Linked DNA regions of Elephas maximus indicus. The protein of the gene in region 1 purifies or fractionates together with the protein of each later gene. This does not show direct contact. Links are inferred from orthologs where the notes say so. Each region holds a gene or a part of one and is shown on either strand. Other genes may lie near its edges.

Region 1 (7,307 bases):
TGATACAACAAATACACATGCAACCAAAAATGCGCTAGCCCTGTTTACATCTTATTTTATAAGTGAAAAAGAAAACAAAAATATTTGCTGCACACATACAAAGCAAAAATGCTCATAACAACTACAGTCCTCATTTCTGCAACTGGTCACACGGTCATAACTGGTATTTAGAACTATCTTCTTCCACCACCCATTGTGTATTCCCTTTGCCATCACCAAGCACCTCAGCTGGTTGTGGTTCTTTTCCTGGTGGGGTGACCCAAGCCTTTATTCCTGAAGGATCTGGGGCAGTAGTAGTCATGTTGAAATTGGGCTGCAGTGTTTTTCCATTGATTTTAATCACAGGGCATTGTAGTACTAAGAGACACCCTAAGAGAGCTCCTGCATTCCAGACATACTCTTCTTTACCTCCATTATGTAATATCAATCCGATTTCCTATTGGTAATCAGGATCAATCACACCAGCCAGTATGGTAACTCCCTTCTTTGCCTGTTGATCCAGAGGCATAAGGAGCCCAAAGAGGCCAGGTGGCATTCTTAGCTTCCAGTTCAATGGAACCAGTGATGTGTCTCCAGTTGGAAGTATTCCTCCCTTCCAAAGAACTAAGACCTCTAGAGCCACAGAGCATAAGGTCACAGGGACAAGAAGCAAAAATTTTGCAAGTGGGTCACTAGGGTTAATAGTGAGTGGTGCCACTCCCATTTCTACCTCTTGATTCCTAGACCCATGAATTCTGGCTATGGGAGAAACCGCACCATATACTGGACGCTGATTTAGAACACATACAGCCTCCTGCAATACACTGTCCCAAACCTGCAAGGAACTGCCACCTAGCTGGCACCATAATTGTGTCTTTAGAAGGCCGTTCCATTGTTCTATCAATCCAGCTGCTTCAGGATGATGGGGATGTTATCAGTCCTCCAGGTCTCACTCGGGGCAACACTGAGACATGAGTCAGTTGAAAGTGAAAGAAAGCTTTATTTGGTTGGCCAAATAAAAGAGCACATCAGGACCTGCATCGCCAAGATTGTTTCCTGATCGGCAGGGACAGCAGTTTATATGCGTAGGATAACGGAGTGGGGGCTCTTCTTCAGGTGGTGTTCAGGAATGTGGTCCCTCAGGGTTGGTGGACAACTTCTACGATGATGTTGTTGTCATTGGGTACAGAAAGTCGCACTGGGATTCAGGATTCACGAGATGGCGGCAGCAAAGGGAAAATGGTGACTTAGCTCCTCCCAGCCCCCCGCAACCCGTCAGCGCCATCTCTGTAATATGTTGCCAGGAGGACAAGGTGAGGCTGTCTGTGCATGAATGCGTTGTTCTGTGCCTGCAAGGGCACCTCAGACTGATCCTGTCCAGTATTTGCCCCAGGGAATGTTGTAACTGGTTTGATCTTCCATCCAGACCACTAAAACTTTCTCCATGTCAGCAATGAGGCTGTTTGGCTTTCTTGTCATTCACTTGTTTACTGGAGTAGCACTTTTAATTTCCTTCAAGAGCTTTTCCTTTGCATTCACAACTTGGCTAACTGTTTGGTACAAGAGGCCTAGCTTTCAGCCTATCTTGGCTTTCAACATACCTTCCTCACTAAGCTTAATCATTTCTAGCTTTCGAGTTAAAGTGGGAGATGTGTGACTCTTCCTTTCACTTGAACACTTAAGAGGACATATAATTGGCCTAATTTCAATATTGTCGTGTCTCAGATAATAGGGAGGCCTGAGCAGAGGGAGAGAGACTGGGGAACGGCTGGTCAGAAAAGCAGTCAAAAAAAACACAACATGTATCGATTAAGTTTGCTGTCTTAAATGGGAGCAGTTCATGGTGCCCCAAAACAATCACGTTTGTATCGTCAAAGATCACTGATTACAGATCACCATAATAGATAATACAATAATGAAAAGGTTTGAAATATTGCAAGAATTACCAAAGTGTGACACAGAGACATGAAGTCAGCACATGCTGTTGGAAAAATTGCACTCATAGATTTGCTCGACGCAGGATTGTCACAACCATCAATTTATAAAAAACACAACATCTGCGAAACACAATAAAATGAAGTGTGCCTGTAACTGCCTATTTGTATTAGTGGCTGTATCTAGTCCTGAGTCTTAAATGCTACTGCACAACCACTATCATGTCAAATGATTCAACAACTCACCTGACAACAAGAGAAGGAGACATTAACCGCAGTCCAAGAACAGACTAAGGTCTCCGGGTATTTTTCTGGTTTTGTTCAGCAAAATCTTGACAATTGTGAAAATCTGGATATCACAGATTAACGTCTTCTAGTCTGACATCACCTTGGTTCTCCAGTCATGCTCCCAAGCAAACGCCCGATCTAATTTCTTCTCCAGAGTGGCTGCCTATGGATAGGCTCGCCCTTGTCAGCCAACACACAAAGCACGGAGTGTCTCCAAATCTTGGTGAATGGGCATATAGTTTATGTAAGGCAAGGAGGGTTCCCTGGTGGCACGGTGGTTAAGCACTGGCTGCTAACCCAATGGTCTGTGGTAGAACCCACGACCACTCCCTCCTCTGACAGTCGGCTTCCATAAAGATTACAGCCTTGGAAACCCTAGGAGGCAGTACTTCCCTGTCCTATATGGTCGCTACGAGTTGGAATCGACTACACGGCAAGGGGTTTTACGTAAGGCCGCGATCCGTTCTCCAACCTCGAATCCGATGTGGGGGAATCTGACAAAACCTAGATTTGCAAAGCTGACGACCCTCTCGGAGCACTAGCAATCCCCCCAGCGTTATCGCAGACACAGAGGGACCAGCGCGGCGCTCCTACTCTGACATCCCTCCCAGCTCAGCAGGGCCTAAGGCAGCAGGCTTCAACTCTGGCTGAGACTCAGATTCACCGAGATTTTACGAACACTGTTATGGGCGCCATCCCACACCCTCCCAACAGAATCGGGGTGAGGACCCTGACACCAGCTTCACAGCGCCGGTGTGTACAAAGTCGGCAGCCGCACCACATCTGCAGGCACTTCAGCGCTCCCAGCAAGTTCCGCGCCGGGTAGCTCCGCCTAGACTCTGCCGGGGCAGCCCAGGTCCCTCAGTCTCCTAGCAACGCGCCACCTACCGGCCCGGAGGGCTAGGGAAGGGCCTCCCGCGCGGGCGATATCGTTCTCCCGCGACATCGCCCCGCCTCTGGTCCCTGATTGGCTAGAATCGCACCAGGAGTTTCCTCCTACTCCTTCAGATGTCCCCCGCCGCATCCAAAGACTCATCTGGAACGTTCTTTCCATCAGCCAATCATTTCCTCCAGCCAGTAATCAGCGAATGATTCCTTCACTGTCTCCCACCCCTAGCACGGTCCAGAATTGTCTCTCAGTTAAAAAAAAAAAAAAAAAAAATTTTTTTTTTTAAGTGGCCCCTGGAGGCCTGGTGGCGCAATGGTTAAGTGATAGGACTGCTAACCAAGAGGTAAAGGTAAGCAGTTCAAATTCACCTGCCGGTCCTTGGAAACCCTACAGGGCAGTTCTATCCTGTCCTCTAGGGTCGCTGTGGGTCGGAGTCGCCTCCAAAGCAACGAGTTTGGGTTTTCTTTTTTTCTTTTTTTGGTTAAGTGGCCTCTAGTCGGCCTCTCCGCAGTGCTGCGCAAGCGCAGCCACTTTGCGGGATGCTGGCGCAGTAGCGCGGACTCCCTGGCCGCTGGCTAAGCATGTGGCTTCGCATGTCCTGCTGTCTGCTGAGGGAATCATACCACCCTAGATGAGACCACTTTGGGAATCTTCAAAGGGAAGATAATCTCTGCGTAAGCTGCTGCACTTGTTGCTAGGGTGCGTTGAGCCACAGGCGAGTGGTCTGAGCGGCATGTGCAGACCCTAATGGTCCCTCTGTCCGGAAGGGGGTATCTTCAGGGGAAAGGTGAATTGGAGGGTGGAGACGAAGGTAGATCTCAGCCTGTCACACCTTGCAGCCGAGGAAAGGGGCCCCAGGCAGAATTAGCGTTTGCAGGTGAGCCGCCTGGTGGCTGTGCCCGCTGGCTTCTGTCCTTCTGGGGCAATAAACTCCTTTATCTGACCCAAAAATGTGTCTTCCAGGATAGTTGGGCATGCCTGGAACAGTCAAAACTCAGAAATCCAGGCCACCCTTCCTCTCTGTGTTTGAGATCAGAGAGGGCCAGAGCTTGACTGAGGGTCGCAAGGCTGGTTAGAACCAAGGTCTAGTTTGGCCCCTGAGAAAATTCAGCATGCCAGTGAGTGGGAGATCTGAATGCTTAACTAGTGGCTGGTTGTCAAAATTTATTCTACTGTTGGTCATTTGGGTATTTTCCAGTTTGGGGCAATTATGAATAGTGCTGCCATGAATAATCTTGCAAATGTCTTTTTGTAGACTGTACACATTTCCATCAGGTATGTATGTTGTGTGCCGTTGAGTTGATTCTGACTCATAGCGACCCTAGAGGACAGAGTAGAGCTGCTCTATAGTGTCTCCTAGGCCATAATCTTTAGGGAATTCACCAGGTTTTTTCCTCTCACGGAGCAACTGGAGCAGCTGGTGGATCCGAACCTCCAACCTTTCAGTTAGCAGCAGATCTCTTAACCGTTGTGCCACCAGAGTTCTAAGTGTATATATATATATATATATATATATATATATAACAACAACATACACCTGTTGATGTGGAGTCAATTTCAACTCATAGCAGACCCTATTGGACAGAGTAGAACTGCCCCATAGAGTTTCCAAGGAGCAGCAGGTGGATTTGAACTGCCGAACTTTTGGTTAGCAGCCTTAGCGCTTAACCACTATGCCACCAGGGCTTTGTTACAGCAGCAATAGGAAACTAATATGCTGCCAAAATATTTTCCAAAGTACTTTTATCAATTTATAATTTTTACAATTTACATTTTTTAACTTAGGGAGCATTGGAAAAAAAAAAACATACTTCAGCCCTACACCACATCAAAGTGAACTGGAATCTCAGTAGGCCTGGAAAAAAAACTTTTTTTTTTTTAAGTTCATTAGGTAATTCTAATGCATCTCGAGGCTGAAAACCACTTACCTAAAGTCTTAAATCTAAATCCAGTTCTCATCGTTGAAGAACAGTGTGTCAGTGATCTGTCTAAAAGTACAGAAAGCATTTTCTGGAGAGTGCTGGTCCAGATCATTGAAGGGTCTTTCTCTGCCTCCGCAGTTAACGAACCTTTACATTGTCCTGCGGTTGAAGTACCTACTAACAATTCAAAGGAATAGTAAGACTAAGGTCCCTTTGTGCTTACAGAGTGTTTTCTTTTAATGTGCTCATAAGGTAGCTCTTTCAGAGACTGCTGCAATTTGGCACCTTGACCTTCCTGGAGAGCTTGACTTTGGGAGCTGGGAGCTTGTGCACAGTGCTCGGGAGTCCTCAGAGGGGATGCCCGGGGAGCGACGTGGCCTACCTGGCTTGTGGTATAGCACAGTCCTCCCAGCTCCTTGTGCTAAGGTTGCAGAAGGCAGCTGGGTGGCCCTGGGGGAATCCTGAAGCAGAAGGTACAGTAAAACCTGCAAAAGCCAGAACCTGTGTGAGGTAGAAACCTATCAAAAAGGAATATGCAAGTATTTTCCAACTAATAGCAATAGAAAAGTGGTAAGACTGCACCCTGTCAAAATGGAAAACTTGCAAAACCCAGAAAAACAAGGAGGTCCCGTCAAGCTCCTCCTCTCACAGGTTTTTCACTCTAGTTCTTACAGCTTAGGCAGGTTGGGCTACATTAGGGCTCTGGGCAGCGTGTGCCCACCTTCCTCTTTCGCAAGGCTAAGGACAGTCTTGAAAGGAAATACATGCAGGCTTCTCTCACTTGCAGCCAGGGATCCTGAAGTCTGGGGAAAGTCTTTCATTCCCCACATTTGAAGGTTTTTGTCTTTGGTAGTAATGCATCAACTGCTGTGCCTCCCTAGGGGACAGATTGACAAGTCCTGAGGCCATGGGCCATTCCCATCACAAAGATACATCATTGAAAGGAATGAAGAGTAGTCTAATGTTGAAACAATAAACTACCTGGAGCTAGTAGTTCATGTGGTTTCCTGACACGCACCAAGTGTCACTGTATTTTCCTCTAAAATTTGAAATATTCCATGACATTCCTATGAGATTGCTGCAGCACACCAGGGTGCCTTGTCACACAATTTGGGAACCACAGCTGTGACCATTTAAAAGATGAGTGACTCATTTTTTCCTTGAATGAGTATTCAATCATTTTCTTCCCAAGGTACAGAAGATCCAATGTAACCTGACCTCTTCCACCCTAAGAATCCCTCTAAAACTAAGCGCAGTAGGAGATCCTTTTAAACGCCCACAGCTGGCACTTAGTGCCCATAGCCCTGTGCAGATTCTGACCTTTTCCCGCAGAGGACATCTTAGGTGAATCTAACACTATCCTGGGAGATAAGCAGTTTCCTATTTCAAATGAAATGAATTAAAAATTATACTATTTAAAAATTAGCCCAATTTTTATATGAGAGACTGATTAGATTTGTAAACTTTCACTTACAGCACAATAAAAAAAAAAAAGTAGCCCATTAACTTAGAGATCTGGCCACCATTAGGAAAGCACTGGCAGAGACTATTAAACACTAAGAAAATAAAAATCACACTACAGTGTACTGCAGATTTATAAGAATTCTCAATGACTTTCCTGCCCCTCAACATTTCAGATCTGATTTTCACACTCTCAGGTAATCAAATAATTTCAGAAGCCATAGATCATAACTTTACCTGGCTCCCAAGAGGGATTTCAAACCCAATAAATTATTCATTCTGAAAACAGGCTTAACTATGGATGTAAATATTCCAACTTAAGCACAAGTTCTGCTTAATATCCTACTTAAAATACAGTTAACAAATATAATTAGATAATTATATGTTACAAATAAATTAAAGTAGATCATAATACATAGAACAAAATTATGACAAAAGCTAAACGCAAACAGGAGAACAGATTCAAGTGAAAATTTTCCAGTGCATTTTATTCATAATGTAGCTGCATTCAAGATGCTGAAGGAAACATCCATATCGGGTGAGTTCTTGTTGGCAGCAAGGAAGAGGCAGAACTTCTTTAGTCATTCTCCGGTTCAGCCTCATCATCAGAAGCAGTCCTTGATTTTTTGTTAGATGCTTCATAAGCTTGTAGAATAAACCTGAGCTGATTGATGACTTCTTCATCTGCTGTTTTCATGTGAAATCCCAACATCTTTGTAATGGTTTCTCGAAACTCAGCAAGCTGCAAGAACCAAGACATCATTAGTTTTGCTCACCCACTTGTTACATAAAGTGAAGCTGCTACTAGAAATGTAGTCTTATTAAACATTTCTT
Region 2 (7,253 bases), about 42 Mb from region 1:
CTCCTGAGGGAGCAGGAGAGCAGTGGGATGCAGACCACAAATTCTCATAAAAAGACCAGACTTAATGGTCTGACTTAGACTAGAATGACCCTGGAGGTCATGGTCCCCAGAACTTCTGTTAGCCCAAGACAGGAACCATACCCAAAGCCAACTTTTCAGACAGGGATTAGATTAGACTACGGGATAGACAATGATACTGGTGAAAAATGAGCTTCTTGGATCAAGTAGACACATAAGACTATGCTGGCATCTCCTGTCCAAAGGGGAGATGAGAGGGTAGAGGGGGTCAGAAGCTGGCCAAATGGACATGAAAAGAGAGTGGAGGGAAGGAGAGTGCTGTCTCATTAGGGGAAGAGAAATTAGGAGTATATAGCAAGGCGTTTATAAATTTTTCTGTAAGTCTGACTTGATTTGTAAACTATCACTTAAAGCATTAAAGCACAATAAAACTTACAAAAAAAAAAAGTAGGAAAACTGCCCAGCAGCCAAGTACACATGACACTTTAAACTCCCGATTCCTATTCATAGAGGGTCAGAGAAGGGATACCTACCCTAGGAACCTCATGGACTTACCCACTGCAATCCTCTTGCTGTAGTCACACAAAGTCCGAAAGTTGTGCCACCTGTTCAGGGCAAATACAGCAACATACAGTCAAATGCACAGAACCTACCCATCACCAAGTTCAAAGGAGAGACTTCCCTAAAGGTTCCACCTGTACTTCCCCTCACTCTACCCTTTAACTTACAGAAGCACCAAAAGGAGACATACCACATCCATGTCTTCTCCTCCCCACTATACTCCTCTGTGTGTGTGGTTGGTGCATTCTCGATGATATCATCCCGCAGGTCCTCTGGTGCCACCAATGGGACCCGCATCCAGAACTGTACATGACAGGTACCTTATTTAGAACTCACTGTGTCCAGAAAGTTTCCCCCCCGTCAAAAGATCTTGATCCAGACCTCAAGTAAATACCTTTATATGCTTTTCCCAATCTGTGATTAGGTACATGTACATAAGGTCACTGTACTTAAAGTCACTATACATAGGGTCACCATGAGTCAGAACCAACTCGACAGCACCTAACAACATGTACAAAAGGACATGTATCCTGTGTTTGTCCTTATGGAAATGTCTGCCTTTCCTTTATCTCAACTCTAAGTTTCTAGACATAAAGTATTATATACTGCATACGTCTTATATCTCTCTGCATACCACTTTTATTTCGGAGATAGGCAATACTGACGTTTTAATTCTGCCATGTGCACCTTCCACTGAATGGCTAGGCATAAAAAGACACTTACAGCAGCAGACTACCGTATTATACAGTAGGAAAGGAGCCCCTCAGCCGTACCATAGAAGAGTGGTGGCCAGTGTGGATGTGGTTGGTCAAAACTCTGGCCAGGTTAGTGTTATCCTCCTGATTGAGGGGCAGCAGGAAAGCTGGAAGACCCAGATATGCCCCAAAATTCAGCTCCTGTAACATAGCCTAGACACAGAGATCAAGAGGAAAAGGTGAAGAGCTAGCAACCCAAATAGCTTTAACTCTGTTGTATCAGACACCTGATTCACCAAGTTATGAGAGGAAAAACTGCTCTCCCCACCCAGCTCAGTTTCAGATCTAATCCTTAGAAAGATCCAGTGGAGAGGTGAAACACCCTTACCGCCTCTGAGTTCCTGCGGATCTTCTCCACTTTTGAGTCTGGATGAATCCATGGAGAAAGCTTTCCGACAATTAGTGTATTCCAGTCTGCAAGTCCCAGCCAAGAAAGACAAAGACAGAATAAGGTTCAGCACTTTATTCTTGCTAAATTTCTTTCTTAGCAGGATACAGAGTAAGAGACAAGGACTTTTTCTATCACAGACATAGAATAGTTTGATCCAGAATAGGGAACTAAGACTTTTAGCAAGTAAGCACGGAGAAAATAAGATTATCTGTATCACAGGAACTAATCAACACTCCCAAATCAGGAAAGGAAGAGAATGAGGACCCTGATAAAGTAGAAGTTGTTACTGCCTCTGATAATTAAGGGGTATACGGGATGGTCCCTACCCCTTCCTGATAGCAGTAGGTCAGATCGTGTCTGGGGACCAGGCCGATTCTTAGCAGGTTCCTGAGTGAACTCCCTCTTGAAACGCGGGTGGAAGACAGGCATGCAGAGGAAATCAAACCTATAACCACGACAGACCCAGAGTCATCATGTAAAGAGAACAGCAATGCCCAGAGAGGTCCAAGCCAACTGGATTTAGACTACCTCAGTTTGCACCGAGCCCTTTCAGTTGCCATCAGTCACCCCACTGGGCTGCTGAGTTCAGCCCACGTTGGAGCATATCAATTCCGCTGCACTGTGCCTCAATACCAGTATGCCACGCAAAAAAAGAAAGACTCAAAAACAGCCGTGGACCAGACGAGTAAGAAGAGGTGAAAATTCATTCCAAGGAGAATACTTTCTACTCTGCTGTCACTGGCCTTCCAGGATTAAATCTGCCCCAATACTGCCCATGCCTCCCCTTTCTTTTTTCCTTTCTTGCTCCCTAATACTTTCACTCCTAGACAAGAACCTCGACTTCACTGCCTCTTTTTGGGTTTATTCAACAATTCCCCCGACTTTTGGCTCAGTGACCGCACACCCCAAAAGTTTCTCTTCCCTCGCTCCTGGAGTCGAGAGCTCTCCCGCCTACATCCTACCCTTTTCGATCCCCTCACCCCTGCCTCTCAGGGATGACTAATCTGCCCCTCTCGGTTCGCGAGTTCGGACCCCGGGTTCCGTTCGGTCTGGGTCCTCACCCCTGTTTGGCCACAGCCCCCAACGTATCAGCTATTTCGGGGACACAATTCAGGTCCCTTCCGCTGGACACGCGGCTCCCACCGGCACCCCCGACCGCCATCGCCGCCATCTTTCCCCTCGCGTTGTCCACGCCGGGGTTCCTTAATACTAGCAACCAATCAAAAACCCTATAAAAAGCCCCCAGAAGGCGGGACGAGTCGCCTTAACAACCAGAGCGTCTTCTACAGCTCGCGTACAGGAGACAGAGGGGTGGGGGCTCTTCCCGCCAATCCTCGGGCTTCACTGTGACGTGTGGCGTGGCTCCCAAAGATCTACCAACCGCAGGGTCTGGTACGTGACGCGCTTTAAGTTCCCATAATGCTTTATGCCTTTGCAGACTTCGTCAAGAGACTACACGTCCCGTGAAACCCTGCAGTATAAGCTTGAAGTGTCATCAGTGAGAAGGGCCACCTTGTCTCAGGGCCAGTGGCGCAATGGATAACGCGTCTGACTACGGATCAGAAGATTCCAGGTTCGACTCCTGGCTGGCTCGGTGGGACGGGCGTTCCCTTATTACACCCTAATGCAGTAATTGGTGTAAGGCTCGTGTTTCTGTGTTTTCTCGTTATCTTTTCACACCCTGATTTCAGGTCGTAATTTGATTAAGTTCTACCGCCAGTTTTTCCCCGTTACGCCTTCAAAGGTGGTTCTTGTGTCCACCTGTACACTGAGAAAACTGAATTAATATAGTTGGAGCTCTTAAATTGGGATCTGTCCCTGTTCGTTGCATGTTACATTTTTAAATAGACAATGATCACTCTGCCACTAATTCCTTGTGATTCTGTCTCAAACACAAAAGCTAAATAAACACACCCCTGAAGATCAGAGAAAAAGAATTCATGATGCGAGATTACAGTAGAGGGGAGCCATGGAGCTGCCTGGCGAGGATCGAAAGAAACTATGTACTTTCCAATGTCAACAGCTGCTATAGGGACAGAGAAGAAGGAAAGGAATCAGGCAAAGAAAGGAATAGGAAAGGGAACACCTGAAAGCTGGCGGCCCAACCGTATTGAAGGCCCTACCTCTGGGGTGGAGGGAGGGGAGGTGGATAGAGAGAACACAGCACAAGAGGCCCTAAGCAGGAAGCATTGACAGAACTGAGGGACCGACTGGCAGGGGACTGTGAGAATGGGAAGTCTGGGGTGATGCCCAGGGCTCTGGCCTCTCAGTGAGACAAGAAATGAGCGGTGCAAATTTAAGGGGAAATTAAGGTTTGGACGTGCTGAATTGAACGTCTAGAGGGCGCTGTGTAATAGAGAGTTGGATGAACAGTGATGTGAACCGGACAAGATTTGGAAATCACCAGAAGACAGGTAGTGACTGAAGTCATAACAGTGAATGAGATCACCATGGCCTGTGGGTGACAGAGCCCTGAGAACATGGAAAGGGTGTATATAAGATAATTTCTCCTCTGAGGAACCCTGGATTTAATGTAAGTGCCTTAAAAAGAGGAAAACCCAAAAGCCAGAGATCTAAGGAAATGCCCCACCGGGTCTGAGGGTTTGGAAATACTGTTGTCCCATCCTAAGTCTTTATTTGATACGTGCAGGTTTGTTTTATTATTATTAATCAATTTTTTATAACAGTTTTAGATTTGCAGAAAAATTGAACAGATAGTGCAGAATTCTCATATAGCCCTGCTTCCCCACCCCAACACCACACACCACTTTTAACTTCTATTAGTATGATACATTTGTTATAATTAATGAACCAATATTGATATATTATTATTAATTAAAGTTCATACTTTATTCAGAATGTCCTTTGTTCTAGGATCCCATCCAGGATATATTACTTTTAGTCATCATATCTCTTAAGGCTTCTTTTGGCTGTGACAGTTTCTCAGATTTTCCTTGTTTTTGGTGACTTTGATAGTTTTGAGGAGGACTGGTCAGCTGTATCCTAGAATGCCTCTCTATTGGAATTTGTCTGATGTTTTTCCCACGATTAGACTGAGGTTATGGGTTTTGGGGAGGAAGATCACAGAAGTGCCATTTTTATCACATCGTATCAAGGGTACATACTACCAACATGATTATGACCGTTGATATTGACCTTGATGACCTGACTGAAGCAGTGTTTATCAGGTTTCTCCACTGTAGATCTATTCCTTTTCTTCCTTTCTGTGGAAGGAAGTTACTATGCAGTGTACTTAAGGAGTGAGGAGTTATGCTCCCCTCCTTTAGGGTGGAACATCTACAGTAGATTGTTGTCCACAGGAAGTGGGTGAGGGTTCTGCAGACATCCTAAGGGATAGAAAAAGAGGTGTGGAAGCCTGCTTATTCTGTGCCCCAGCTGTGCCCAGCCAAACTCTGCATTCACAGAAGACTTATTAGATGTTGTTTTTCCTTCAGAAGCTAATTATCTGAGTTGTGGACCATCTGTGCTCCTGGCATCCCACTCCTGACGTCAAGCTGGTGGCTGCTCTTTTGATTGTTAACTAACCCATCTCTGGGTAAGAAAGAGTGAGGAAAAATCTATGAAGCAGTAATGTCAGTTTGGCCATCAGTTAAAATAATTTTCAAAATGATTCATGTAAAAAAAGCCTGGACTTTCTGACTGACCTTCAAGTTCAGTTTGTTGTTAGAAATTTCATTTGTCTGTGTTGTCTTTGTTTTTCCAGTCAGGACGGCCTCAGCTGTGTGGCAAGCATGATGCTGAGCGGTTCCCCATAATTCCATACCACATTGCTCTCCACTATCCTACAGCTCTGGTCTGTGCCATAAAAAAGCAGCATGTAACTGTGGGTCTATCTATAGGAACTTAGAGGAGCAAAAAGGGAAGGACTGAAAAAGAAATAGAGAACCTTCTACAGGACTTGGCCATAGGCAAAAAGTTGAAGTTGGTGACATCTATCACTCTCTGCTTCGCTCTCCGTGCTGAACTCTTGCATTCAGAAGCGTGTGTATAAAACTATGGGATGTAGGCTTTTGCTGGGATGGAAGTAGGGAGATGGTAGAACAGAAAGGAAAATACCCTGGGTGAGAAATACTGTTACTTTCTCAAATAGGAGTAAGTGACCAACAGGCTACCAGCTGAAAAGTGGAGACTCTTCTGGAAGGGAAGGAGTACTCATTCCCGGATAATCCTCCCCACCAGGCCTTTGGTAGCGCAGTTAAATGTTCGACTGCTAACAGAAAGATTGGCAGTTGGAACCTATCCAGCGGTGCCTCAGAAGGCAGTCCTGCCCATCTGCTTCTGAAAGGTCACAGCCTTGAAAAGCCTATGGAGCAGTTCTACTCTGCACACATGGGGTCATGGAGTCGCCATGTGTCAGAATTGACTTGAGCCAACCAGGCCCTCCAGCAGTCCCACTGTCAGGCCCAGTCCTACTTGATCCTGGTTTTTGTCCTTGTTTAAACACCTCCCACCCATTGTAAACCCTCCTTTCATCTTCTTTTGTGCTCCCCTCCTCTCTTAGCTCTTTCCTCCCTCCCCAGATCCATCCTTACTCACCTCTGTGCTGGCCCAGCCAGCCGCACTATTCAAAACGGAAATGATGGCCCGTTTGACCCTCTTACTTGCTCCAAATTGCTTCTTCACAACGAAGGCTGTCCTCTAGCTACAAAAGTGGCAGAGTTACTGAGGCAAAATAATCTATGCCAATTTGCATTCTCTTCCTTGTCATCTCTATTATACAGTATTTATCTGTCAAAATGAAAGTAGAAACTGTTCTGCAAAATAAAAAAAGATAGAAAACTACCCAATTTATTTATGAAGCCAGAATAAACCTAATACAAAGACCTGTCAGAAGTAGCACCAAAATATAAAGCAAACAAAAAACTACAGACCAATCTCACTTATGAATATAAATATAAAATTCCAAAAATATTTAAGATTAACAAATAAAATTCAACAATGTATGAACATAATAATTATATACCACAACCAGTTAGAGTTTATCCCAGGGATTAACATAAGTTTAGGTATTAGAGAATTTATTTATATAATAGGTCAATAAGAAACCAAGAAAAACATTTGATTTTTTTCAATAATTACCAAAGAGAACATGGTAAGTCAATTTTCATTTTCTATAAATGTTTTTAATAGTCTTAATATTCTTCGTATATAAATATGTGTATATATATGATATATAAAGTCAACAACTTATATAAAGATGAAATAAAACAAGAATATCTGGTTTCATCACTGAGTTATTTAATATTGTTCTGAAAAATCCAATATAGTAAGACTTGAAAAAAGGAGTCATAACTTTTGGAAAGGAAGAGGCAAATTTATCATTGTTTGCAGATGATATGATTGTATACCTAGAAAATCCATGAGAATCAATTTTTAAATGATGAAAATTCATAACAAATTCAGAGAAGTCACTAGATACAAGACAAATATAAAATAAATCTGTACTCTTCTTATCTACTAGGAATAACCATTTAGAAGACATAATTAACAAAGATATCCCCCATAAC
Region 3 (7,027 bases), on another chromosome or scaffold:
TGAAGCTCTGGCTCTTCTTGTACTCCCTGTCTTTCCTATTTTTCCTCATTCATTGTACTGTCTCTTTTCAATACAATTTGACAAACTCTTTTTGATTGCACGTTGTATGTACAACTGCATAAGACACAGCTACCTTACATGACCCCCAATCTCATTTATACTGTGATGAAAGAGAGACAGTAATGAAGGCAGAGCATGTTCAGAGCTATGGTTAACAACAATATGTCATGAGAACACAAAGATAACGAGATTTTATTTGAAACTAAATGATAGAGCAGCCTATATCTAGCTTGGAGAGGAGAGGGGAGATTCTGGAGTTCTCCAGAGGTTTTACAGTAGAAGGTTTTAGAAGCATCCCTTGCCACTGAACAATACTCCCACCCAGTCCCAATCAACACCCTTTAATCATTGTCCCTTCTTCTCTCAGAGTCTCTGAGAATGTAGTTTACTGTCAAATGACTGGTTTCTTTAACCCCCTGCCCTAGGGTCTACTAAGTGAGCTTTCTTTGTTAAGGTTTTCCACTGACAATGATTTCAAGAGTGAAGGGGAGTATTCAAAGGTCTATGCCTTGAGGAAACAGAAAAAAATGTACCCTCAGCTTGCCTTTTCTCCAATCGGTAAAAGAGATATGAGGAAAGACGGTAAGCTCCTTTCTTTCAAAGCAATGGTTTATTGGACTGAGATATCGGCTGGAGGTAGAACCTCTGGGGACTGGAGATATGGGCAAATCAGTATTTCTCATGGTGGTCCTAAAGAATATTTTTCCTTGTAGCATAGAAGCTAGGAACTGATCAAGGTGCTAGGTTTTGGTCCCTGCTTATAGCCTTACATGTCAAGAAAGCTCTAGAACAGTATTCCCAAATACCACCACCTACCACTTTAATAGTTTTTGCCATGTCAGTTTAGTATTTTTCTCTTAAAAGATTTTTTTCACTCTTGTCTTAATCAATACTATATCTTTGACATCATGGGTTTGATATACTAATTATATATTTTTCTGATACACATTAAATCAAACTCATAACAATTAAATTTTAAAATGTGTATTTAGGTAGCAGCTAAAACCATCCACGGTATGCATAACACACTTTGGGGAAAACTGGTCTAGAAGGGCCAAAGGATAAGCAAATCTCAGAAGTCCTCAAGTCTCTTTGGGGTTGGGGTAGGGCATTGGACAGAAGGGGCTTGGGATAAGGCTGCATCGAAGAGGGTGCAATGAGAATGCTCTTCATATTTGTGGGGTGCCTACTTAACGTTGAACACTTACCAAGCACCGATAATAGCACTTTAAATACGTGAGACAGATGAACCCGACCATGAAGTCCTTTTATAGTAAATAAATAAGAACTTGGGTTTTATCCAGTAGGCTATTGGGACCTATATTAGGTCACTGAACACACATTTGTATATTATAAATATAATTAATGAGTTCCCAGACTTCACCAGCTGATGGCTTCAAGATAAAGTCCATTCCTCCTACTAGGTTTCTCTCCTCAAGCGATTTTTGAGGCTTCCTAAGAGCTCAGCTGCTAACCAAAAGGTTGGGAATTCGACTCCACCAGCCACTCATTGGAAACCATATGAGGCGGTTCTAATCTGTCCTATAGGGTCACTATGAGTCAGAATTGACTTGACAGCCATGGTTTTGGTTTTTGGTTTTATTAAGGTCTATTTAGGAGGCCTGATAGTGCAGTGATTAAGTGTTTGGCTGCTAACCAGAAAGGTTGGCAGTTCAAGTCCACCAGCAACAGATTTTTTTTTTTTTTTAAGGTAAGTTTACTGTTTTACAGTTATCCTAGTGATTGATTACCTAACACCTTTGCCAACCATCTTCAGGGCAACAGTCCCAGAGGTCCCAGGTTACACCATACCATCCCTTAACTGGTTTCTTCAGGCCTCTCTGCTCCTAGTTACCAACCCACCCCACCTTACCCACTGCCTGTCTTAACTCCCATATATACAGCTAAAGCAAAGCTGTAGTGGTAAACAAAACTTCATGGGTGTGGAGGAAAGCTAAAGGACAGCAGAGAGAGTTATATTGCTTTAAAAGAGGCTACTTACTCTCAGCTTAGCCTCAAACCCAGCCTCAGTTCCTCTAAGCTTCCCAGTGGGCCTCTAGTACGTTACTTGTTCTTGGGAATCTCCTGGCCTATCTACCTGTTTCTGCCAAGGCTCCTAATACCCTTGGCCCAAGAAAAGGAAGAGGTTCTCCTTCCTTCCCCCAAACCTGTTTCGTTTCAGTCCCAGTAAAAATGACAATGAGACCATCTATTTCCTGCAAGGGAAATTCTTCCTGGGAAGTATGGTTTGAACTTTATAAGCCAGATAAGGCAAACGTAATAGTTGAGAATCCATTTAGTAAAGTTAGAGTTAAATCTTAAATGATACCATATGTAAGGATATCAACAGTGCAGCTTAAATTCATATTTAAAGGCAGAATTTCTCTAATTTTGCAAGGGCATGGTCCTTGTTCAGGATACACCCAATTTACATTTCTAAACAGAATGCTTAATATCTTGATCTGCAGCATCTATTAGAGTTATGACTTCATATTTTCCATCAAGACAAATGAGTGGATACTTGTTTTACTTATGTGAAGTTGAATCAGTGTCTCCACTCGTGGCAAAAGAGAAGGCTAGCAGTCTCCCTCCCCGCAGTAGTGTTCCATGTTTACCAGGCATCCAAAGAAATAAAGATCATAGAGAATGGTTTGAGGCAGGGCCAGGAAGGCGGCTGTCCAAGAAACAGCTGATGAAGACTTGAGCTAAGGAGTCAGCAGTAGAGATAAGGAACAGATTCAAGGGTCATCTACCAGGTATACCCAGAAACCACACCAGCTGTTGTTGAGTCAATTCTGACTCCACGTGTGTCCTAGTAGAACTGTGCTCCACAGGGTTTTCAATGGCTGATTTTTTGGAAGTAGATCGCCAGGTCTTTCTTCCAAGACACTTCTGCATAGACTGGAACCTGCAACCTTTGGGTTGGCAGTTGAGCGCTAAAGCGCTTGCACCACCCAGGGAGGTTTTACAAGGTATAATGCATCAAAAAAGTGGGGAGGGATTGAAGGAAGAAGATCCCACAATGGAAGCTTGAAAGAACAGAACAGAGATTGAAGGAGAATCTGGATAAAATGTTTTAACTGAAGCCAAAAGTAGAAAAAGTTTCTTACTTACACTGTCTGACAAAGAACCGACAACAAACGGGTTAGAAAAAGACTGAGAAACATGAATATACACGTGCGTGCAAGTTAGCCTAAAGAGTTATGTAAGAGTGTGGTTGAAGATGGAAAAACTCAGAAGAGGTGGATTAAATGAGGGGACTGTAAACCAGCGGTGTGTTTTAAACTGGTTTTTGAAGAAGCGACGAAAACGTTTGACAACGAAGGCTGGAAGGGTAGTCCGCGGTCCACAATCTACCCTCTTGGTTAAAGTAAAGACCAGCTTTCTGGTCGGTCACGCTTTGCATTAAGCGCCCTTGTAGAATCCACATTCACCTCAAGGTGCCCTGTGCTTTGTTGCAGCTTCCAAGAAGTCAGCGAGTGCAGTGCCGACTTCCCAGGCGATCTGGGAACCACTCACCCTGTCATCGCTCCTGGAAGAGAAGCCCACCAGAACTGTGCCGGGGGAGAGCGCGTTCCGCAACGGAAGAGCCCAGCAGTGGATCATAAATAACGCCACTCTCATTAAGTGAACACAAACCCTCCAGGCCCCCCTCCCGCCTCGGTCTCCAGACAGGGGTCTGCAGACGTCGCCATCTGCGGCGTGCCATCCAAATAAAATCACATTCCTGCTTGCTCCAGGCGTGGGCTGCCGGGTCGCTGGCCAAGTGGGCAGGAGAGCCCCTCGCTCCGACCTGTCACCGCCCAGGCCCCGCCCCGCCCATGGCCCCGCCCACGCCCGGCTGAGGGCGAAGAGAGGGCGTGGCTGCGGCCCTCCCCGGGCGAGAGCGACGGCCCGCGGCCGGGGGCGGGCCTTCTCCCGGAGTGACGGGCCGGCCGCCCAACCGGCGGGAGCGCTCGGGGCCTGCCTTCCTGCAGCCTCTTCCGCTTGCCGGCTGCTGCGTCTGGGATGGTTGCGGTGGGTCTGGGCGCTGGGAAGTGGGCCAAGATGTTTAAAAAATTCGACAAGAAGGACGAGGAGTCTGGTACGCGCTGGGCCGCTCACGCACACCCTTGGCTGTGGGGACCCCTTTTTGCGCCGCCCTCATGTGCTCCGGGCACGGCGGCCCCGGGGGCGTGGGCACCGGGGGCGTGGGCACCGGTGTGCGCGCGACCCCTCCCCTCGCTCCCGCCGGGGAGCGAGCTTCCCCTGGCCCCTCCCCCAGCGGCCCCGCCTGCGCCCCTTCCTGGCGGCCCCGCCCGCGCCCCGCCCCTGCGCCCCGCCCCCCAGCGGCCCCCCGCCCCCCAGCGGCCCCCCCGCCCCCCAGCGGCCCCCCTCTCCGGCTTAGCCCCTCCGAGCCCCTCCTGGTGGGGCCGTCAGGAGTGGAGGCGGGCTCACGACAGGTGGAAGGAGTGCGTGCGCATGTATGAGAGGCGGGGGTGCTGGGGGTGCTGGGCCCCTAGTGGGAGCACCCTCTTTTGGGCCTGGGGTCGACGGGAACAGCATGTGTGTCCGTGTCCAAAGTTGAGGTGCCTTCTACCTTACAGTCTTTCTTGGGACCTGCCTGCCCCATGGAACATAAGTCAGTGCTCTAGCATGCAGAAGTGACTTTCGTCTTGTTGCCCATCTTTAATCCAGTGGAAAGGGCGAAGAGGCCAAGCCACCTCCACATTCTCAGCTGCCCTCACAAAGCATGGGAGAGGGTGGGGTCCGTTCACCTCCATGGGCCCTTCCCGCTTTTAAGTTGCTATGGTTCTGTGCTGAATTCTTCGTTTCTGCCTCTCAGTACGTGTTATAAGCAAATAAAAAATAGTGCTCGCCTTTAGAGAAATTAGAGTGCCCCACCATCATCTCATTCATTTTAATTGCAGTGGAAATGGCAGATAGTCATAATATTCTTGTACAAAGAGGGCAAGCAAAGAAGACATTCTCATTTCAGGCAGGGTTCCAGCCAAAGAGAAGTCCGAGATCTTCCAGGATAGCAACGACAGAGATAGTGCCAGAATGAAAATACTTTCATTCCATTTACATGCATATTAGTAATGATTATCACTGTGATATCCAAGTGGTCACCTCACTTTAGTGAGATTTCCCAAGCATTCAGTGCCCTTCTGGTGGAAGTAAATACGCTTATGCAGAACAGCTATTACAGATGTCTTTTGTTTTATCATATAGGGAGTGGCTCCAACCCTTTTCAGCATCTGGAGAAGAGTGCTGTCTTACAGGAGGTATGGCTTGCAAGTACATCGTGCTCCTTTCTTTTCTATTTTGTTTTAGAATGGCGGGCAGAGAACCCCTGGGATGCTACAATTGGGGCATCCAAAATGAGACATGAATGTAACTGAGTTCAGAGAATGTAGACTTGAGAGGAAAGGAAGAGGGGTTACTTGCCATGGGAGAGTTTAGAGCTTTTAGAAATGTAAAGACACACAGACTCTGCTACATGCTGGGAATTTTAAATGTCAGAAGACGTGTTTGGTGTGAGGTTATTGAAGGAAGTTATAGATATTAAGCTCCCTGTGTTTATATGATGCAGTAAATATTGTGATTTGTGGTAAATATTGTGATTCTTATTTACCAGATAAAGTTCAGAAAGTTGAAGTATTAGATTTAATGGAATGGGTTGCAAAGTACAGAATGGAAGATCAAGGCTACGTCTAATAATTTCTTGTATTCTATGATACATTGAAGACTAATGTTTTTGGATATTGTGATTAAAAGTTGGTTTGCTGTCATCTGTGATAGAAAATGTAGAAAATATACTATATTTTTTTTTTTTTTATAGGCTCGTATATTCAATGAAACTCCCATCAATCCAAGAAGATGTTTGCATATTCTTACCAAGATTCTTTACTTACTGAACCAGGTAAATTATTTTTAGTTTTTCTCAGGTTTGTGTCCTGGAGTAGAAATACATAGCATGGAGTGAAGTACTTTCTGGAAAGTACTTATCTATTTCTCTAAAATATTTAACATAATAACATGTAAAACTTCTTGAGGACAGGAATTATAACATATAGTTATTTTGTGTTCATGAGATACTAAACCAGCTGACCACATGGTAGATTCTCAATAAATACCTATTGATTTGAGTTTAACAACAACAGCAACAGCAAAAAACCAAACCCGTTCCTGTCGAGTCAATTCTGACTCATAGCAACCCTATAGGACAGAGTAGAACTACCTCATGGGGTTTTTAAGGTTGTAATCTTTACAGAAGCAGACTATCACATCTTTCTCCCATGGAGTGGCTTGTGGATTCAACCTGCCAGCCTTTCAGCTAGCAGCTAAATGCTTAACCAGTATGCCACTTTGAGTTTAACAGGTACTAGTTAATGTTAGTATAAATGTTTACATTCGTTCAGAGATCTTTATATCTCTCCAAAAATACAATGCAAAATCTCAGGCAAATTCCAGGTAGATATTTTACCTTTCTTGGGGAAGGCGGGCAAACCCTGGAGGCACAGTGGTTAAGAGCTATGGCTGCTAACCAAGAGGTCGGCCATTCGAAGCCACCAGGCACTCCTTGGAAACCCTATGGGGCAGTTCTATTGTGTCCTACAGGGTCGCTGTGAGTCAGAATCGACACTATGGCAATGGGTTTTGGGAAGGTGGACGGGTAGGATAGATCATCAAAACAAAACAAAACAAACCCATTGACATCGATGACAATGGGTTTGATTTATTTACTTATTTTTTGTATGTATATACACCCCCCCCCCCCGTTTCCATTTGGTGCTGAGTAAGAAGACTGGTTTCCAATTTGAATTCCATGTGAATATTTTATCATTACTCTGTTTCTTGACTGAGAACCTTATCCATAGATTTAATAGTTTTTGTTGTTTGCAAATGGAGGTTGAGCAGTAAGCACACACTTTTTAAATAAAATGTATCTGTTCACTAACATTTTAGTCTGTATGTCAGGGTA
Region 4 (7,979 bases), on another chromosome or scaffold:
CAGGCTGATCCCAGGAGGGCGAGGAGAGAAGCTGGGGGACTGTCCCCCACACAGCGAGGCAGCACCGCCTGCAAGAGAGCTGTGGCTGGCTCAGTCCTCGTGTCACCTCGGGTGGCCACCTATCTCAGGCCCACTGTGACACGTTGGTGACAGACCAACAAGTGCCCAGCCCAGTGAGGGTGCCCAGCCTAGTGAGAGCATCCAGCAAAGGCAGCTTCCCAGGAAGAAGGGGGCAGGCTTCTCACTAAGGCCATGGAGGAGAGGGGCAGTGGCATCAGAACGTCCAGCAGAAGGCGACTTTGGGGACTGAAGTTTCCCAAGAGGATAAGAACTACCTCTGACCTCTCCCAAAACAGACCCGAGACCCCTGGCAGGAGCCACTGCAGGAGGAAAGCAGTGGCCGAGGCCCCTCCTGCCAGCCCACAGCCTTCCTGCCATGCTGGTCAGGCCCACAGAAGGCAGGGAGGTGTCTCCTCCTCCAGGCAGGGTAGGGGCGCCCCAGGGGAGTCTCCCCTCACCTACCTGGCCCCGGGCCTCCTGTATCTTCTCATGCAGCCGCTGCCGAAGCACATCGAGGGCAAAGAAAGAGTCAGGGTCTGTGGTCCAGCGTTCTGCTAAGGGAGCAGATGCGAGGGCTGAAAAAAGACTAGCTCCCCAATCCTTCCCTGAGTTTCTAGTCACACACCCCCTAGTGACCACTCACAGATCTGCAGGAGCAGTTCCAGTCAATTCTATGACCCCTGTGGCATTCTCCAGGGCCGGTCACTGTGGTATGACAAAGTGCTTCCTCTGGTGGACGCCAAACCCAATCCCTGCATCAGAGCCCACAGTCTGCTCTCACGACACCCCTTCCAAGACTTGAGGGCAGTGATGTTGCTCCTCAGAAGGGACCATGTTTGCACATGCTGGACCTGGGGTCCCGGAGCCTCTCACCTGCAGGGGCCACGGTGGAGCTGGAGGCCTCCTCCTCTTCTGTTGCCACTGGCTTCTTGGCCCCAGAAGCTGCTGGAGACTTCTGCAGGGACTTGGCCTTGTGCTCCACAGCCTTCTCTTTCTGCTCCCAGAATTTCTTCTGCATTTTCTTCCTTTTCTTTTTTGAAGGCCCGGCAGCTTTTGTGTCTTGAGTTTGACCAGCTGAAATACAAAATGCATGAGGGCTGCCGTCCCAATCTCTGTGACCCGCTCAGGAGGCAGGAAGGTCTTGTGAACAAAGCCAACACAGAGCACCAGGACAGAGAATCCAGAGACATGTACCCACAGAGCACAGAACTATGGATCTTCCAGAAGGCAGGATGGCTGCTCACAGCAAAAACCTTAAAGACATGCGTACCCCTGGCCTAGCAGTTCTGTTTGTGAGAACTCACCATGGCATGAGCAAAGGTGTGGCTTCAAGGATATTCATCGTGACAGTGCTTGAATGAAAGACTGAAAAAACCTAAATCCTCACCGACACCAAAAAAATAACCCATTGCCAAAGAGTCGATTCTGACACGTAACACTCTATAGGACAGAGTAGAACTGCCCCATAGGGTTTCCAAGGAGCAGCTGGTGGATTTGAACAGCTGACCTTTTGGTCAGCAGCTATAGCTCTTACCCACTGTACCACCAGAGCTCCGGGACAAATTACGCTACTGCTACACAACAAACTACTACACAAAACCAAACAAACCAAACCCAGTGCCGTCGAGTTGATTCCTACTCATAGCGACTCTATAGAACAGAGTAGAACTGCCCCGTAGAGTTTCCAAGGAGCTCCTGGTGGATTCGAACTGCCGACCTTTTGGTTAGCAGCCGTAGCTCTTAACCACTATGCCACCAGAGTTTCCAGAACCATCAAAAACAATGGAGTAGTCTTTCACTTCTTGTCTGGAAAGATGTTTACATTTTAAACAGAAAAAGATGAATACACAGAGTAGGACCAAACTGTTAATAACAGAAACTTACACTAAGAAAAAACTCTAGAAAAACACAGATCGAAATTATAACTGAAACATAAAAAACAGACTACTGTTTTCTAATTCTTTGTAATGAATCATACTCCTTGCACAAACATGAAAGTAAAGTTGAAAAAAACAAGCAAACAACAACAAAAAAAAACGATTCTCTGGGACCCCAGGTCTTTAAAGCCCGGCCCCTTTAGCTTTTTCCGGAGTAACCCTATACCCCCTGGCCTGTAAGCCGACCCTGGCAGGAACCCCGTTTTCTTTCTTCTCCCCACACAGCACCAGTGTGAGGTGTTTTGTTTTTTTTTTAATTGGTTCATCATCACTCGTAACTGTCTTCCCACCCAAAACGGAAAGCTGGCTAAACTGGTTCACGGAGCCAACCACAGAGAAGCCATTCTACAGGGGTCACCTCTGCGAACCCCGGCAACGCTTCCCGCGCGATGGGCGAGCGGAGCTGAGCCCCTCGTTTCGGGCAGGCGCCCCTAACAAGCAAGGGGAACGGCAGAGCCGTGAACACCGCTTACATTTCCTGCCGGTGTTTCGCTGATTTGTCGCACGCGTTCGTCTGTCTAACCACGTGAAAGCCACCTGGGTGTGCTAAACGGCGACCTCGGCCGCGAGCGCGCGGCTCCGGAAGCTCCCCTTGCGAAGCCCCCCAACCCCAATGTCGCCAAGGCACGCGCCCGGGACCGCGCCTCACCCCGCTTGCGCTTCTGCGGCTCCGCGCTGGGCTGGGCGCAGATTTTCCTGGCCAGGTTCTGCAGGTAGGCGTCTTTGGCGAGCAGAGACGCCATGGCTGGAGGCTCGGGGGGCCGGGGCCGGGGCCGGGGCCGGGCAGCAGGGCGGGCGGCGCTCGCTCGGGCTCCTGCTCGGGCAGACAGGGGTGCTGAGGAGCGGAGGCCAGGGCACCTCGTCCTCCCCGACGGCCAGAGGGCAGAGGCCGAGACCTGGGTGCGGGGCCCCGGCCTGTCCCCGCCGCACACACCGACCCCGCGGCGACCCTCACCTCCGCCGGGCCGCAACCGGAAACCGCCGCGTGGGCAGGCGCCGCCAGCCGACCGCCGAGACGCCATCCGCGGCGCTCGATTAGCCAGGCCTGGCCCCGCCCGGAAGAGGGGAAAGAGGGCGGGAGGGCGCAAAGCATTGTGGGCTGTGGGCGGGCGCTCTTCGAGGCTGTCGCGACGCCCATGCAGCCTCTGCCCCGAGGAGGGGGTGGTGTTGGTGCCCCCCGAGTCCCGACCTTTGTGCCCCGTGTCCCTCGGCTCTGCACGTACCTTCGCGCACTTTTCCCAGCTCCGAGCACAGGGCCCCGTCCATAGGCGCACAGTTAGTAGGACTGAATGAACGAATAAATGGGCAGTAAGTTAAGCTCTTCGGGGCCTGAGATCCCAAATGGAAGCGGACAAAACCGCGTTTATTCAAAAAAGAATTGACCGCCAAGCGTGTGCCAGCCCCAGTTCCAAGCCCACGGGCTGCAGCAGGGAAAAAACACAGAAATCTGCGTCCTTTTCAAGCTTATGTTTTAGTGGCATCGACTGAAACACATGAAGTGCCCGATGGTGGGAGGCGGAGCCCTGGTGGTGCAGCGGTTAAGAGCTCGGCTGCTGACCAAAAGGTCTGCAGTTCGAAACCACCAGTCGCTCGTTGGAAACTCTAGGGCAGTTCTACTCAGTCCTATAGGGTCGATAAGAGTCGCAATCAACCCGATGGCAATGGGTTTTGATGGTAGGGAGGGCTAAGGAGAAAAGGGAGAGGAAGGGACAGACGGGAGGTGTTGGGAGGGAGGGAGCTGGGCGCTCAGGGAAGACCCGGAGGGAAGGTGATTTTTGTTGTGGAAAATACACTTGGTTCTTTATAAGAACTCACCAAGGGAGGAAGGGGAGTGTTCACTAGGGGACGCTGGGGACCACCACACTCCAGCTCCTTAACAGGACAGTTACAGGCTTTTGTTACATAACCCAGGAGCCCCCTCAGTGGAAGGGAGCTCAGAAGGGAGGAGCCTGTGATGTTCCACTGGCGGTCACCATTACAACTTCAACAGGCTATATGAGAAGGCTGCTAATAAGAAACATTGAGAATTAACTTTTCTCCATGGGTCAGAATCGACTCGATGGCAAGGGGTTTGGGTTTTTGTTTTTTCTTTTTTTTGGTCCCCATCCCCTACCATGAGGTGATGTGTTATGCGGAGGCTGGTTTCATCATCGTCTTCTTTCTACTGTAGTTTAAATCCAGTTTAATCTCTACCTACAGAAGACAGTCTTCAGTATGAATTACACCTCAACATAAAGAAAACAAGAATTCTCACAACTAGACCAAAAGCAACATCAGGGTAAACGGAGAAAAGATTGAAGTTGTCAAGGATTTCATTTTACTTGGATCCACAATCGACATCCTTGGAAGCAGCAGTCGAGAAATCAAAAGACACATGGCACTGGGCAAGTGTGCTGCACAAGACTCCTTTAAAGCGTTGAAGAGCAAAGATGCCACCTTGAAGACTAAGGTGTGCCTGACCCAAGCCTTGGTGTTTTCAATCATCTCATATGCATGTGAAAGCTGGACAATGAATAAGGAAGACCAAAGAAGAGTTGACGCCTTTGAATTGTGGTGTTGGCGAAGAATGTTGAGTATTCCAGGGACTGCCAAAAGAACAAATAAATCTGTCTTGGAAGAGGTACAACCAGATGCTTCTTAGAAGCAAGGATGGTGAGACTGTTTCTCACATACTTTGGACACATTATCAGGAGGGATCAGTCCCTGGAGAAGGGCACCCATGCTTGGTAGGGGGGCCAGCAAAAAAGAGGAAGACCATCAACAAGATGGATTGATACAGTGGCTGCAACAATGGGCTCAAGCATAAGGATTATGAGGTTGGCACAGGACCAGGGGGTGTTTCATTCTGACTTGACAGCACCTAACAACGACAACAACTACACAGAACAATCATTAAGTTGCAGACATGTCCTTCCAGGCACTGTCATTTAAACCATCAAAGCAAGAGACCGAAGGGATAGGGACAGGGCAAAGGACGACAGGGATGCTGGGTCCTCCGGCACCGGGTTCTCAGTTCATGTGGATGTCAGCTTATTTGTCCTGCATTCTCCATTTCCAGGTAGGTCTTTGAGGCTTCACTGAGGTCCTCACTCCACGGGCAGTGGTAGATGCCACCAGAGGTGCCACAGGGCAGGGAGAGAAAACCCAGAGGTCCTCTGGTTGGTGAGTCCGGAGTGCAGATCTTGTTTGTGAGCCTACCTAATTTTAGTTACCTGTGAGAAGTTGAATAAAATCTGGCCCTGTTTACAAACTTGACAATTAAAGATACAACTATGAAGATACTACCACTACCATGGCTTGGAGTTGATTCCCACTCGACTCGTAGCGACCCTATAGGACAGCGTAGATTGCGCCATGGGGTTTCCAAGGCTGTAATCTTTACAGAAGCAGATTGCCACATCTTTCTCCTGCTGAGGAGCTGGTGGGTTTGAATCACCTACCTTTCGGTTAGCAGCTGAGCGCCTAACCACTGCACCACCAGGGCTCCCATTAAATTTTGTTTCCGTGACTTTGATTTGCCATCATAAAATTCAACAGTAAAAATCTTTTTTTTTTCTTTTTGTGTGCTTTAGGTGAAAGTTTACAGCTGTCTCACAGAAAAATTTATACACATATTGTTTTGTGACATTAGTTGCAATCAGCACACTCTCCCTTTCTGCTCTGGGTTCCCTTGTTCATTCGACCAGTTCCTGTCCCTTCCTGCCTTCTTATCCTGCTTCCAGACAGAAGCCGCCCATTTGGTCTCATATATCTGATTGAACTCAGAAGCACACTCCTCGCGTGTATTATTTATTTATTATTTTTTTTTTTTAATAACTTTTATTAAGCTTCAAGTGAACGTTTACAAATCCAATCAGTCTGTCACATATAAGTTTACATACATCTCACTCCCTACTCCCACTTGCTCTCCCCCTCTTGAGTCAGCCCTTTCAGTCTCTCCTTTCTTGACAATTTTGCCGGCTTCCCTCTCTATCCTCCCATCCCCCTCCAGACAAGAGTTGCCAACACAATCTCAAGTGTCCACCTGATATAATTAGCTCACTCTTCATCAGCGTCTCTCTCCCACCCGCTGACCAGTCCCTTTCATTTCTGATGAGTTGTCTTCGGGGATGGTTCCTGTCCTGTGTCAACTGAAGGTCTGGGGAGCATGGCCGCCGGGATTCTTCCAGTCTCAGTCAGACCATTAAGTTTGGTCTTTTTATGAGAATTTGGGGTCTGTATCCCACTGATCTCCTGCTCCCTCAGGGGTCCTCTGCTGTGCTCCCTGTCAGGGCAGTCATCGATTGTGGCCGGGCACCAACTAGTTCTTCTGGTCTCAGGATGATGTAGGTCTCTGGTTCATGTGGCCCTTTCTGTCTCTTGGGCTCTTAGTTGTCGTGTGGCCTTGGTGTTCTTCCTTTTCCTTTGCCCCAGGTGGGTTGAGACCAATTGCTGCATCTCAGATGGCCGCTTGTTAGCATTTAAGACCCCAGACGCCACATTTCAAAGTGGGATGCAGAATGATTTCATAATAGAATTATTTTGCCAATTGACTTAGAAGTCCCCGCAAACCATGTTCCCCAGACCCCCGCGCTTGCTCCGCTGACCTCTGAAGCATTCATTTTATCCCGGAAACTTCTTTGCTTTTGGTCCAGTCCAATTGAGCTGACCTTCCATGTATTGAGTGTTGTCTTTCGCTTCACCTAAAGCAGTTCTTGTCTACTGATTAATCAATAAAAAACCCTCTCCCACCCTCCCTCCCTCCCCCCCTCGTAACCACAAAAGTATGTGTTCTTCTCAGGTTTACTGTTACTCAAGGTCTTATAATAGTGGTCTTACACAATACTTGTCCTTTTGCCTCTGACTCATTTCGCTCAGCATAATGCCTTCCAGGTTCCTCCAAGTTATGAAATGTTTCAGAGATTCGTCACTGTTCTTTATCGATGCGTAGTATTCCATTGTGTGAATATACCACAATTTATTTACCCATTCATCCGTTGATGGACACCTTGGTTGCTTCCAACTTTTTGCTATTGTAAACAGAGCTGCAATAAACATGGGTGTGCATATATCTGTTTGTATGAAGGCTCTTGTATCTCTAGGGTATATTCCTAGGAGTGGGATTTCTGGGTTGTATGGTAGTTCTATTTCTAACTGTTTAAGATAACGCCAGATAGATTTCCAAAGTGGTTGTACCATTTGACATTCCCACCAGCAGTGTATGAGAGTTCCAATCTCTCCGCAGCCTCTCCAACATTTATTATTTTGTGTTTTTTGGATTAATGCCAGCCTTGCTGGTGTGAGATGGAATCTCATCGTAGTTTTAATTTGCATTTCTCTAATGGCTAATGATCGAGCGCATTTTCTCATGTATCTGTTGGCTGCCTGAATATCTTCTTTAGTGAAATGTGTGTTCATATCCTCTGCCCACTTCTTGATTGGGTTGTTTGTCTTTTTGTGGTTGAGTTTTGACAGAATCATGTAGATTTTAGAGATCAGGCGCTGGTCGGAGATGTCATAGCTGAAAATTCTTTCCCAGTCTGTAGGTGGTCTTTTTACTCTTTTGGAGAAGTCTTTAGATGAGCATAGGTGTTTGATTTTTAGGAGCTCCCAGTTATCGGGTTTCTCTTCATCATTTTTGGTAATGTTTTGTATTCTGTTTATACCTTGTATTAGGGCTCCTAGGGTTGTCCCAATTTTTTCTTCCATGATCTTTATCGTTTTAGTCTTTATGTTTAGGTCTTTGATCCACTTGGAGTTAGTTTTTGTGCATGGTGTGAGGTATGGGTCCTGTTTCATTTTTTTGCAAATGGATATCCAGTTATGCCAGCACCATTTGTTAAAAAGGCTATCTTTTCCCCAGTTAATTGACACTGGTCCTTTGTCCAATATCAGCTGCTCATACGTGGATGGATCTGTGTCTGGGTTCTCAATTCTGTTCCATTGGTCTATGTGTCTGTTGTTGTACCAATACCAGGCTGTTTTGACTACTGTGGCTGTATA

What was found.
Region 2: the proteins of ESR2 (region 1) and PRMT5 purify together in Homo sapiens (affinity purification with mass spectrometry; 3 studies listed by BioGRID and IntAct, with this or other methods). This does not show direct contact. The link is inferred for Elephas maximus indicus from reciprocal best matches to the Homo sapiens genes ESR2 and PRMT5.
Region 3: the proteins of ESR2 (region 1) and COPG2 purify together in Homo sapiens (affinity purification with mass spectrometry; 3 studies listed by BioGRID and IntAct, with this or other methods). This does not show direct contact. The link is inferred for Elephas maximus indicus from reciprocal best matches to the Homo sapiens genes ESR2 and COPG2.
Region 4: the proteins of ESR2 (region 1) and SURF6 purify together in Homo sapiens (affinity purification with mass spectrometry; 3 studies listed by BioGRID and IntAct, with this or other methods). This does not show direct contact. The link is inferred for Elephas maximus indicus from reciprocal best matches to the Homo sapiens genes ESR2 and SURF6.

The regions. Positions count from the first base shown.
Region 1 is NC_064828.1:76,639,171-76,646,477, forward strand, and holds the start of ESR2 (estrogen receptor beta), read right to left. Parts: upstream 3,005-7,307; 5' UTR 2,160-3,004; intron 1-2,159. Other genes in the region: coiled-coil domain-containing protein 170-like, read right to left, coding at 7,051-7,215.
Region 2 is NC_064828.1:34,276,182-34,283,434, forward strand, and holds the start of PRMT5 (protein arginine N-methyltransferase 5), read right to left. Parts: upstream 3,014-7,253; 5' UTR 2,897-3,013; coding exon 2,787-2,896; intron 2,171-2,786; coding exon 2,052-2,170; intron 1,749-2,051; coding exon 1,663-1,748; intron 1,488-1,662; coding exon 1,353-1,487; intron 883-1,352; coding exon 770-882; intron 624-769; coding exon 574-623; intron 1-573. UniProt on the Homo sapiens protein: Arginine methyltransferase that can both catalyze the formation of omega-N monomethylarginine (MMA) and symmetrical dimethylarginine (sDMA), with a preference for the formation of MMA.
Region 3 is NC_064826.1:19,142,173-19,149,199, forward strand, and holds the start of COPG2 (coatomer subunit gamma-2), read left to right. Parts: upstream 1-4,010; 5' UTR 4,011-4,068; coding exon 4,069-4,144; intron 4,145-5,274; coding exon 5,275-5,327; intron 5,328-5,884; coding exon 5,885-5,965; intron 5,966-7,027. Other genes in the region: TSGA13 (testis-specific gene 13 protein), read left to right, coding at 515-642, 3,522-3,691. UniProt on the Homo sapiens protein: The coatomer is a cytosolic protein complex that binds to dilysine motifs and reversibly associates with Golgi non-clathrin-coated vesicles, which further mediate biosynthetic protein transport from the ER, via the Golgi up to the trans Golgi network.
Region 4 is NC_064827.1:5,223,382-5,231,360, reverse strand, and holds the start of SURF6 (surfeit locus protein 6), read right to left. Parts: upstream 3,017-7,979; 5' UTR 2,953-3,016; exon of another isoform or gene 2,812-2,952; 5' UTR 2,741-2,811; coding exon 2,647-2,740; intron 1,135-2,646; coding exon 934-1,134; intron 615-933; coding exon 523-614; intron 1-522. UniProt on the Homo sapiens protein: Binds to both DNA and RNA in vitro, with a stronger binding capacity for RNA. May represent a nucleolar constitutive protein involved in ribosomal biosynthesis or assembly.